Linked DNA regions of Xenopus tropicalis. The protein of the gene in region 1 interacts with the protein of each later gene in a biochemical or structural test. Links are inferred from orthologs where the notes say so. Each region holds a gene or a part of one and is shown on either strand. Other genes may lie near its edges.

What was found.
Region 2: the proteins of nfe2l2 (region 1) and enc1 form a complex in vitro, tested with the Homo sapiens proteins (2 studies listed by BioGRID). The link is inferred for Xenopus tropicalis from reciprocal best matches to the Homo sapiens genes NFE2L2 and ENC1.

Annotation. Positions count from the first base shown.
Region 1 is NC_030685.2:65,682,256-65,687,423, reverse strand, and holds the end of nfe2l2 (nuclear factor erythroid 2-related factor 2), read left to right. Parts: intron 1-189; coding exon 190-462; intron 463-560; coding exon 561-647; intron 648-1,253; coding exon 1,254-1,436; intron 1,437-1,989; coding exon 1,990-3,174; 3' UTR 3,175-4,047; downstream 4,048-5,168.
Region 2 is NC_030677.2:183,964,203-183,969,523, reverse strand, and holds the start of enc1 (ectoderm-neural cortex protein 1), read left to right. Parts: upstream 1-2,049; 5' UTR 2,050-2,409; intron 2,410-5,321. UniProt on the Homo sapiens protein: Actin-binding protein involved in the regulation of neuronal process formation and in differentiation of neural crest cells.

The DNA of each region.
Region 1 (5,168 bases):
CACAACTTCCCATGAGAAGGTAATGTTCACCTGCCTCTTGAAAGATTACCACATCAGCTTAATCCAAGCCCAGTTGAAGATGTAACCTACCACTATCAGTCGTGTTGGATTTCATAGCTGCTTCATGGGGTTGAACAATTATCCAAAAAGTATCAGGACATTAAACCCCATGTATTTGACTTCTTCTAGGATATGGATCTGATTGATATTCTTTGGAAGCAAGACATTGACCTCGGTGTTAGCCGTGAGGTTTTCGACTATAACCAAAGACAGAAGGAAAATGAATTGGAGAAACAGAAGAAGCTTGAAAAGGAGCGGCAAGAGCAGCTGCAGAAGGAACGGGAAAAAGCACTCTACGCCCAACTGCAATTAGATGAGGAGACAGGGGAATTCATCCCAATCCAACAGGCTGCACCTATTGAGACTGCAGCAGTCACGCAGGAGCTTGCCAGTTCCATTGAGGTAATTAGCCCAGATCTTGTTTATGAAAGAAACATGTGACATAGGGAATTCACATACAATAATGTGGCATCTTTCTTTTTTTTTTTTTGTTCCTATAGGTCAAACCCAGTTTGGTACATGATTTATCCTTTGATGAATGCTTGAAGATTTTGGGTGAAACATTCCAGTTAGGACCAGCTAATGAGGTAAATCACAGTGGTTTAAACCTTGGACTCTCAGTTATTAAAGTAAAACACCTTTCCATGTGAGACCCAGAGCCAGAACAGGAATAAAAGCCTTTAAAGGACCTGTCACCCACACATAAAAAGCTGTATAATAAAAGTCCTTTAAAAATTAAACATGAAACCCAAATTCTTTCTTTTAATTAAATCTGTTATAAAATAAGGCATAGAGGCGGGGCAGACAATATATGATTGTTAGCTCCGATTTTTAATTACAGTTACTTTAACTTTCCATTCAGCGCTTCCTAGATATCACCTTAAATGGCGAATGCAAAAGTTTTTGGGGTGATACAAAGCTTGCCTTAATAACAGTGTTCACAAAATGGCGCTGGCCTGCTTGCTGTGACTGTAAATTCTAAGACTGAAGGGGAAAAAAATTAAATAATTTATATAGTATAAGTAAACAGAAATGACAGCAGAGGAGCTATCTAGCTTACTAGCCATACCCTTTAATTTGAAAAACAGCACCTAGGCTACTCCTAGCCAAAAACTCCACATTTAGAGCCCAAGGCCATCCAGTTTCTTTTGTTAAACCTGCATTTTCAGTTAATGTATGTATATCTGTTTTAGGAATCCTCTTTGGCATACCAGACACTAGAACCCAGTGATCCTATTGAAACAAACCAGACCTTCCTCCAGTCTGAACCAAATCCGGTACCAGCTGGCACGCTGAGCAGCATACCTGCGGAAGGAGAGATTATGCATGAAATGAATCAGGCTTGGGAGGAGTTATTGTCTATTCCTGAGTTACAGGTAACATCACTATATATGCTATGTATATAACTACTTTGTAGTATACTTATTGCATGTAATGAATGGTTGGCCTGATTAAATGAGAGAATGAATTTGTATTGCATTCTTCTGTGCCTCCATGAAGAGAGATAAACGATTGGGTTGGTGGTTTAAAAACATCTTATAATCAACTTTTAATTTTATGTGTTATATAATGAGTCTATAATAGTCTGATCTTTTGGCTCCCATAACCTGATTATTTTATAGGCATATGGAGCCCTGTTGGAAGAAGACCACATCAGCTTGGTCCTTGTGTAAAGTTTCTAACCAGCCTCTTGGGCTTGTTACTATTTTTTAATGAAAACCCCTACTGCAGTGTACTCTGTGTTGGGTACAATGAAGGGGTGTAAAGTGCTCTTCCTATTGGCTAGAATGTGGGGGACCTAGGCAGCTACAAATATTAGATAACCAAATAAGCAATTAAAGACAATTGACCCTTTTCACCCAGCCTGTGTATCTAAATAAGTATACCCGAATTTTCTTGACTAAAACACTGTTTCTTTTCTTCTAACAGTGCCTTAACAATGAGATTGAAAACATGGTGGACCTAAGCATGTATACAAACCAAGAATCCATCACAATGACAGAGACTCCAGACACTTACAGCTTCCTTAGTCCCCTGTCCACTATTGAAAAACCACATGAAAGCAGCACTGTTTTCTCCAGTGATCTTGTGGATACGTTCACTAGTAGTCTACCATCAGTAAACACAAATACAGCCTTTAATGTTGAGTCATTCTGCGATGATATATTTACACTTGACCCAAAAGTGACCAATGTTGTGCCTTTAACAGACAATTCAGGCCAGTTGCTGAATGAGCTTTTGAATGATAACGTTGATATTACAGACTTGTCATTATGTAAAGCTTTTAATGGGAACAACCAACCAGAATTCAATGATTCTGATTCTGGTGTTTCTGTCAATGCCAGTCCATGTGCAACATCACCTTCCCAGTCCATGAGTGGTTCCGTCTATGGTGAGCCTCATCATAGCTACAGTGATTCAGACATGGAAGATATGGACAGCACTCCAGAGACTGCACAGCAAAAACCTCCAGACAATTTTACTGCAGCATTTACTGAGGACACATACTTCACTCTTTCGCCTTTTGTCTCGCATGACACAGATCCCTTTGATATAGAAGCTCACACCCCTTCGGCAAAAGAGATACCTGCTAGCCCAGGCTATAGCAAGGCTCCGTTTGCCAAGGACAAGTATTTAAGCCGCCAAGAAGCTCGTTTCACCAGAGACGAGCAAAGAGCAAAGGTTCTCAACATACCATTCTCTGTCGATAAAATAGTTAACCTTCCAGTGGACAACTTTAATGAGTTGATGTCCAAGTATCAGTTTAACGAGGCCCAGCTTGCCCTCATAAGAGATATAAGGAGGCGGGGCAAAAATAAAGTAGCTGCTCAGAATTGTCGGAAGAGGAAGATGGACAACATAGTGGAATTGGAGACTGATCTGGACAAGCTTAAGTATGAAAAAGAGAAATTACTTGCTGAACGAGGAGAGTACAACAACAGCCTTAGTCAACTGAAGAAGAAGCTTGGCGCCCTGTACATGGAGGTCTTTAATAAGCTGCAAGACGAGAATGGGCAACCATACTCCCCTCATGAATACTCCCTCCAGCAGACAAAGGAGGGAAATATTTTCCTTGTTCCAAAAACCAAGAAAGTTAGCATAAAGAAGGAATAGCAAATATATTATAACATTTTTATTGTTTATTCTGGGATGGAATCCCAGTGTTTGGCCTAAGGTGGATGACTGGGATGCGTTAAAGAAGTAGCTCACCAGAACTAGTCTTTGTACTGTAGCACTTAAACCGGGGCAGGGGTTAAAAAAAATACAAATTAGTCTTATGCAGTTAATAGTTAACTAATTAGTCCAGCTGAAACCTAATTAAACATTTGGAGTGTTTCAGTCTGCACCCTAACAAGGAGTGCTTAGGTAAAACTGGTATGTTTAACAGAGTTATATAGCATATTCAGATGTGTGCTTTCGACAACATTTCCAATATACCGGACTTAAACTGATTAGTATTTTCTGCAAAATCCGGCCTCGTTGTGGCTTGCGAGACAGATGGGCATTACCGGATGCGACTTCTGCAGGATCAGTCATTTTTATTTTCGTTATTAAATATTGTTTCCGTATATCTTGCACTTATTTTTTTTTTTTTGGTTTCAGTAGTCAGAAATCTGAAAATATTTGGTATACAGAAATATATCAGGCAACAGACATCTCATGTAAAATCTGCAGTCTTTTATAGAACATCCTATATTTCCTTATTGCGACACTGTCTTTCTAAATAACTGTAAATAGTGCAATACATCATATTTATGTATATATATAATTCCTATTTTATTTGCTAAGAAACGTACCAAAAATAAATTTAGTACACTAAATATCATTTGTGGCAAATCATGTTTGTAACTGCTGATTCTTTTATAGAGAGCTTTATTTCTTTTTACTTTTTTTTTAATTTTGAATTTTTGGTTTTTTTTCCCTTTTAAATTCTGTTTTCATTTAGCAAGACAGATGACAGTTAATAAAGCATAAAATACCATCTTTCATGCTGATTCTGTGATTGATTTTGTATTTCAAAGAAACACAGTTGGTTGCTAATTCTGTTTTATAATGTAACATTTTTCTATACTATAAAGGTGTAAAGACATAATAGGTAGGGCTTATTTACATTTTGGCATGTTTTCCAATTAATTGTGCAGACTAAAAGGTGGCCATACATGGGTTTATACTGTTACTGATTCAGTCCTTTCAGACCGAGTTGGCAGCTTATTGGTCCATGTATGGGGCCCTCTGACAGACCTTTCTGACCGATATCTGGCTAAAAATCTGGTTTAAAGGTGCCCATACACAGGCTGCATGGTACGGTATTCTCTGTTCAGGATATTAGGATACCGTACAATTAATTATACACTCGTTTGGCCATTTTTCTGTTGAGACCTAAATGATCAAAACAGCAGATAATAAAGAAGAGTTGTGGTTCCTCTTGTCTTCATTTTGGCCCACTGATAGGACAGAATATCCTCAATGCACCAAGATCACAGGATTAACTCTTCAAATGGCCCCTCTGACTTGACATATTTTCCCTGGATGGTCAGGTAGTCAAAATCAACTATTCTGCCCAACCAAATATGTGCAGGGCTGCCTTAAACTGAGTTTGCAGCTACTTAAAATGAATGGTTTCTTTTTATTATTTATTTTATGGAGGCAAGGGTAATCATAAAGGCATTATGGCTTGTTTTATGTCTAGTTAGTGCTTGGGTGATTCTCACCGGGAGCAAGCAGTATCGGACAGGACCACACCACGTGACTTATACGGGTGAGCCATAGTTATGAAGTTAGGTGGAAAAAAGACACGTCCATCAAGTTCAACCTTATATGCCAATATATAACCTGCCTAACTGCTAATTGATCCAGTGGAAAGCAAAAAAAAAAAATCCTTCCTGACTCCAAGAGGGCAATCAGACCAGTCCCTGGATCAACTTGTACTAAGAGCTATCTCCCATACCCCTGTATTCCCTCACTTGTACTGAGAGCTATCTCCCATACCCCTGTATTCCCTCACTTGTACTGAGAGCTATCTCCCCTACCCCTGCATTCCCTCACTTGTACTGAGAGCTATCTCCCATACCCCTGTATTCCCTCACTTGTACTGAGAGCTATCTCCC
Region 2 (5,321 bases), on another chromosome or scaffold:
ATATATGTAAAAGGCTCTTTATTTAAAAGGAACGTTAAGGAGACATTTATTTTGCCTTTAATATAAGTTCTGAGCATTGCCATGCATGCTCACTTGTGACAAATATTAACCATACTGCGTGGCCAGTGACCGTGCTGCTTGGCCAGTGACCGTACTGTTTGGCCAGTGACCGTGCTGCTTGGCCAGTGACCATACTGTTTGGCCAGTGACCGTGCTGCTTGGCCAGTGACCGTGCTGCTTGGCCAGTGATCGTGCTGCTTGGCCAGTGACCGTGCTGCTTGGCCAGTGACCGTGCTGCTTGGCCAGTGACCGTGCTGCTTGGCCAGTGACCGTGCTGTTTGGCCAGTGACCGTACTGCTTGGCCAGTGACCGTACTGCTTGGCCAGTGACCGTACTGCTTGGCCAGTGACCATGTTGCTTGGCCAGTAACTATACTGCTTGGCCAGTGGCGCTTGGGAGGTACATCAGCTCAGGGCCTGGTTTCCACAGATCGTGCTGCAGTTCTATCGGATTGTAGTTGACTCTTCAAAATCAAACATTTTTTCTCCTCATGCACTTTGGTTGTGGGCTTAGTGTAAATCAACAGAATAACGTAACGTTTTTTTGCCAGGCATGGATTTGCAAGGCATTTCCACATTTCACCATTGTTTTGTGAAACTTCATTGAAAATTTGCAGCGGAAAAATTTGTTGTGCTCCAAAAAAATCGCAATCGCATCAAATTGGACATAGGCACGTAAAAATTTGACGCAGTCGTGAAAAAAAGCGCAACAAATGCGTTTCACATATTTTTTCCGTTTCGCTCATCACTAGTCGAGACTCTTCACTTCCTAAAGTCCGACTGCCTGAATGACCAGGACAACAGAATGTTTGATAAATCCTACACATCTGCCTGCCAGCTGCGCCAAGCACAACTCTGCATGGCAGACGCAATGACACAGGATTTATATGAGAATATCCTAAATAAAAAACTTGGAAAATAGTAACTAAAAATGCTTTTTGCACAGGGAACTTAGTAAGTAAATGAGCCCTATTGTTTTTTTCTCCATATATTTGAATGGGAACTGCATAACACCCTAGGTCCGTAGAAATAAATACAATATGTAATAGAAACTACGCTTGATGCCAAGATTATTACCAGGTAAAATAAAATATATTGATTATTTATGTGCTCTGGCTCTGTGCCTCCAGTTAAAGGGCAATAGAGGATAAACGTTATAAGCACCAAGGTAACGCTTCTCTTTGCGCCCCTGTAGGGAAAGATTCTTTCTCCGTTCCGCGCTGCGCAGTGTATTCATCCTTAAGGTGCGGTTGCGCAGTCTGACCGCTAGGTGTCCCTGTTGACACAGATTGCGGGGCTTGTGCCGCTATTGATTTTGATTTTGTACAGAGCAGTGAGCGCAGATGAAAAGGCTAATTAGTGTAGTTAGTATAGACAAACGCTAAACACCTTGGGCTTTGATTCAGGGAAGCTTGAGTTTAATGCCATGTCAGCCCTTTCTATCCATCTGCAGCCCCATTTTTAGAGTGCAAGCTCCGTGGCACAGAAAGTCACTGCGCTTGGATTGTATGATTTCTGTGCAGGAGTAAGGATGTTATAATGTGCCGATGGCCGGTGTTTCTCATGCACAGGGACAACTCGATATTAGTCAAATGGAGGGAAAGCAATAATAATATAAAAATATCTTTATTGTCTTATCCAAGCCGATCTCATGCCAATAATCATAGGCTTCTCCAGTTCTTCAGGTGAAGTTGAAGTTAAAGTGAGGCAAAAGCTACGGGCTCCCCTACCATTCATGGCCTATAGGTGCCTCACGGTAGGTATAAGTGCCGCCTAATGGCCGTGCTGCTAGATGGTTGCACAGAGATGCCAATCAGTAAGCGCTATAGGAACATACACGCACAATTATCCTTGGAAGGGATCTTATCTCCGTCCCCTCCCCCCACACACAGTGCAATAACTCTTACACATTCCCATCTCCCCGCCCCCCCCCCGGGAGTAGCACACAGGCTGCACTGTTTAGTTACGGGAGGGTTTGTATCCACTGAAGCCCCGCCCCCTCCCTCCGCGTAGCTCCGCCCTGTTCCTCTCTAACACCTCTGAGTGAATGGAGCCGGGCTGCACTTAGCTACAGGCGCCCAGCGTTGCTGCTACTGCTGCCAGCTCTCCCCGTGTATGGCAGCTCCTCCTCCCTCAGCCCATGTGCCCTGCAGGAAGCCCGACAGAAGCCTGCCGACCCTCAGTCTGATATTCCGGCGCAGCTGCCTGTGTGTGTCCCCCTCCCTGTGCAGAGCCCGGGGTCAACTCCTAACAGTTGGGCGATTGTTCGGAAGGATCAGCTGCAGCCTGCGACTCTAGGAAGGGACTGTTGGGCGCTCCTTGTACTGTGATGCTTCCCAGTGAGCTGGAGGTGAGTTTTGCGCGACTTTGTTGCTTTCCTACTGCTCTGCTTTCCAAACGCAGCGATACACATGATAGCGACTCCTGTCTCTGGAGGGAGAAGCTGGGGGTTTCCTAGTACTGTGTCCCTTTAAATTAGCTGCAACAGCAAAGCAAGCGACTCTGTTCTAGCTGTTGCCATTGACATGACCCTATGTATAAAGGCTTGTACTAATTAGCTTAACTCCATGTACCACGGCAATTACTATTAACATGCCCCTATGTATAATGGCTTGTGCTATTGGCTTCACTTTATGTACTATGACAATTGCTATTAACATGCCCCTATGTATAATGGCTTGTACTATTGGCTTCACTTTATGTATAATGGCAATTACTATTAACATGCCCCTGTGTATAATGGCTTGTGCTATTGGCTTAACTTTATGTACTATGGCAATTACTATTAACATGACCCTATGTATAATGGCTTGTGCTATTGGCTTCACTTTATGTATAATGGCAATTACTATCAACATGCCCCTATGTATAATGGCTTGTGCTATTGGCTTCACTTTATGTACTATGGCAATTACTATCAACATGCCCCTATGTATAATGGCTTGTGCTATTGGCTTCACTTTATGTACTATGGCAATTACTATTAACATGACCCTATGTATAATGGCTTGTACTATTGGCTTCACTTTATGTATAATGGCAATTACTATTAACATGCCCCTGTGTATAATGGCTTGTGCTACTGGCTTCACTTTATGTATCATGGCAATTGCTATTAAGATGCCCCTATGTTTCCTTGCTTGACACTATGTATTATGTATATGTAATTAACATGACTGTTTATCATGGCTTGTGCTATCGGCTTGACGCTTGGTACCATGTGCTGCAATTGTGACTGTAGCTGAAATGGGCACTGAGCATGCTGGGTCTGGGCCATATGTCTGCTGTGCCTCCCCTGTGCCTGTAATTCTATATGAGCATTGTCCCTCCGGGTTTCAGTAGAACAACAGCTGGGGGGCTGCATGCTGGACATCTACTTATGGAGTATCTGCCAGTTATAGCCACATATAACATGTCCTATATACTTTGTTGTTGACTCCCAGATGGACCCCCTGATGTTTGAGGTCCCTATGAACTTCCCTACTCTAAAAGCCCTGTATGTACCTGAGCAATTGCTTGAATGGAGCATGTTATACCATTGTGTTACTATCTCCATCTCTGACCCATTCCCTCCCATATACCAGTGCTTCACTGGGACCCCCAATTTGATGCAGGTTACATTAAAAGAACATGCTTTACTTGCCCCCTGACAGCTAAAGAAGTAAGAAAGTTTAATTTTGGTTGTTCTATGTGGCCGGGAAATGTGTGAAACACTTGGCCCAAGGGGTTAATGATCATGTTATTCATGCAGAAAGCGCTTAGCAGGGAACAGCCCAACGTGCGAGAGCTCAGTTTTCGAGGTTGGTCACTACAGAAACATGGGCTTAGCCTCACACGTGCTGCGCACACCGCTGTCATGTAGTGTTAGGATGAAGCGTGTAACTCCGGCGCTTCATTGAGAAGAGTAGTGCCTGCGCTAATTCTACTGGGCTAAGCTGATCATGGGGGTCATTCACAAGTTCTTACCCTGGGGGGGCTCTTCAAGCATTGCCACTGTTTTATTGGTCGTTTTGAGCTTATTTTGTTTTGCTTTCCTGTCCATTGACAAGATGCATTTGTGATTTGTGTTGCTTAGAATGAATCTTAGAATGAATATCGGCATATATATACATTGCATTTAGTAATGCAAATATGGGAATAAAGGGTCATAAGTTGGCAGTACCAGCTGTAACTGAACTGATTGTGGGTTTTGCACAGGTTGGTACAGTGGCACTCAAACCCCATTCGCTGGTGCTAAATTGCATTAGAGTTGTGCATGTGCAATCAGATGCACTCTAACTTGGTGGCATTGGTTAGATCACATAGTAAATGACTGTCTGGAGCCTTGTTATTAGTAGAGAATGGGTACAAATGCCACTCTAACGATCTAAAAAGTTTTGGTCAAAACCCCATTGTTTCCTTTTGTGCTCTGTATAAGTGTATCATTAGGGGACCCTGTAGCAGAAATGCTCTAATAATCAGCTGATAGCTGCCCTGGTGATGGTAATTAACAGTAATGATGACAATTGCACCACATATCAAAGGACTGTGACACATGATATATTTGTATTTCGGCTACTTGCAGTGACAGTCAAAACATCCGCTATCCACAAATGATCTCTTCCCACTGATAGTAAGGGGAAGCCACACATCGGTTGCCCTGCATTTATTCTTGCTGCCCAAACCCCCCTCAATGCTGCATTGGTATTATTTCTATGCTCAGTACAAGCTGTGGCGCTTCCCTTCATATCGGTAGAAAGAAACCCAGAGTAGTTAGTGGCTTTTCCATCACTGCTATTCATAGCAGCAGTCAAAATGCTACATGTCCTGTAGCCCTACGTTTCTAGCAGCCTATTGTCTATAGATGATGCTAAACTGCAATTCTCATGTCCCATCAGCAGTTGAAGTTGGGAAGACACTGGAAATTGTAGTTTAGCAGTCTTAATGGCCACAGGTTGCCCAATACCCCTATGTATTCATATGTAGCTTCCCATGTCTCCAGCCTAGTGGGGAGATAATGATTTCTGCACCAATGTGATTTCCCAGTGTTGCCCTTTATGACTGTCTCAATGATCTTGGTGCAAGTTGTGTCTTCATAGAGATCTGCAAAAACAATTGCTGCTAGTTGATAATGAAATAAAGGCTTATATTTCAAAAGGAGCAGCTAGGAACATTGTCTGGCTCTTGGCTCTGCCCATTGGAGTTCTGTGCCCAGCTCTGTCGATGGAAGTAAAACTATTGAAATCTTGGTGCCCATATTGTGATCCTTCTTAAATATTAATT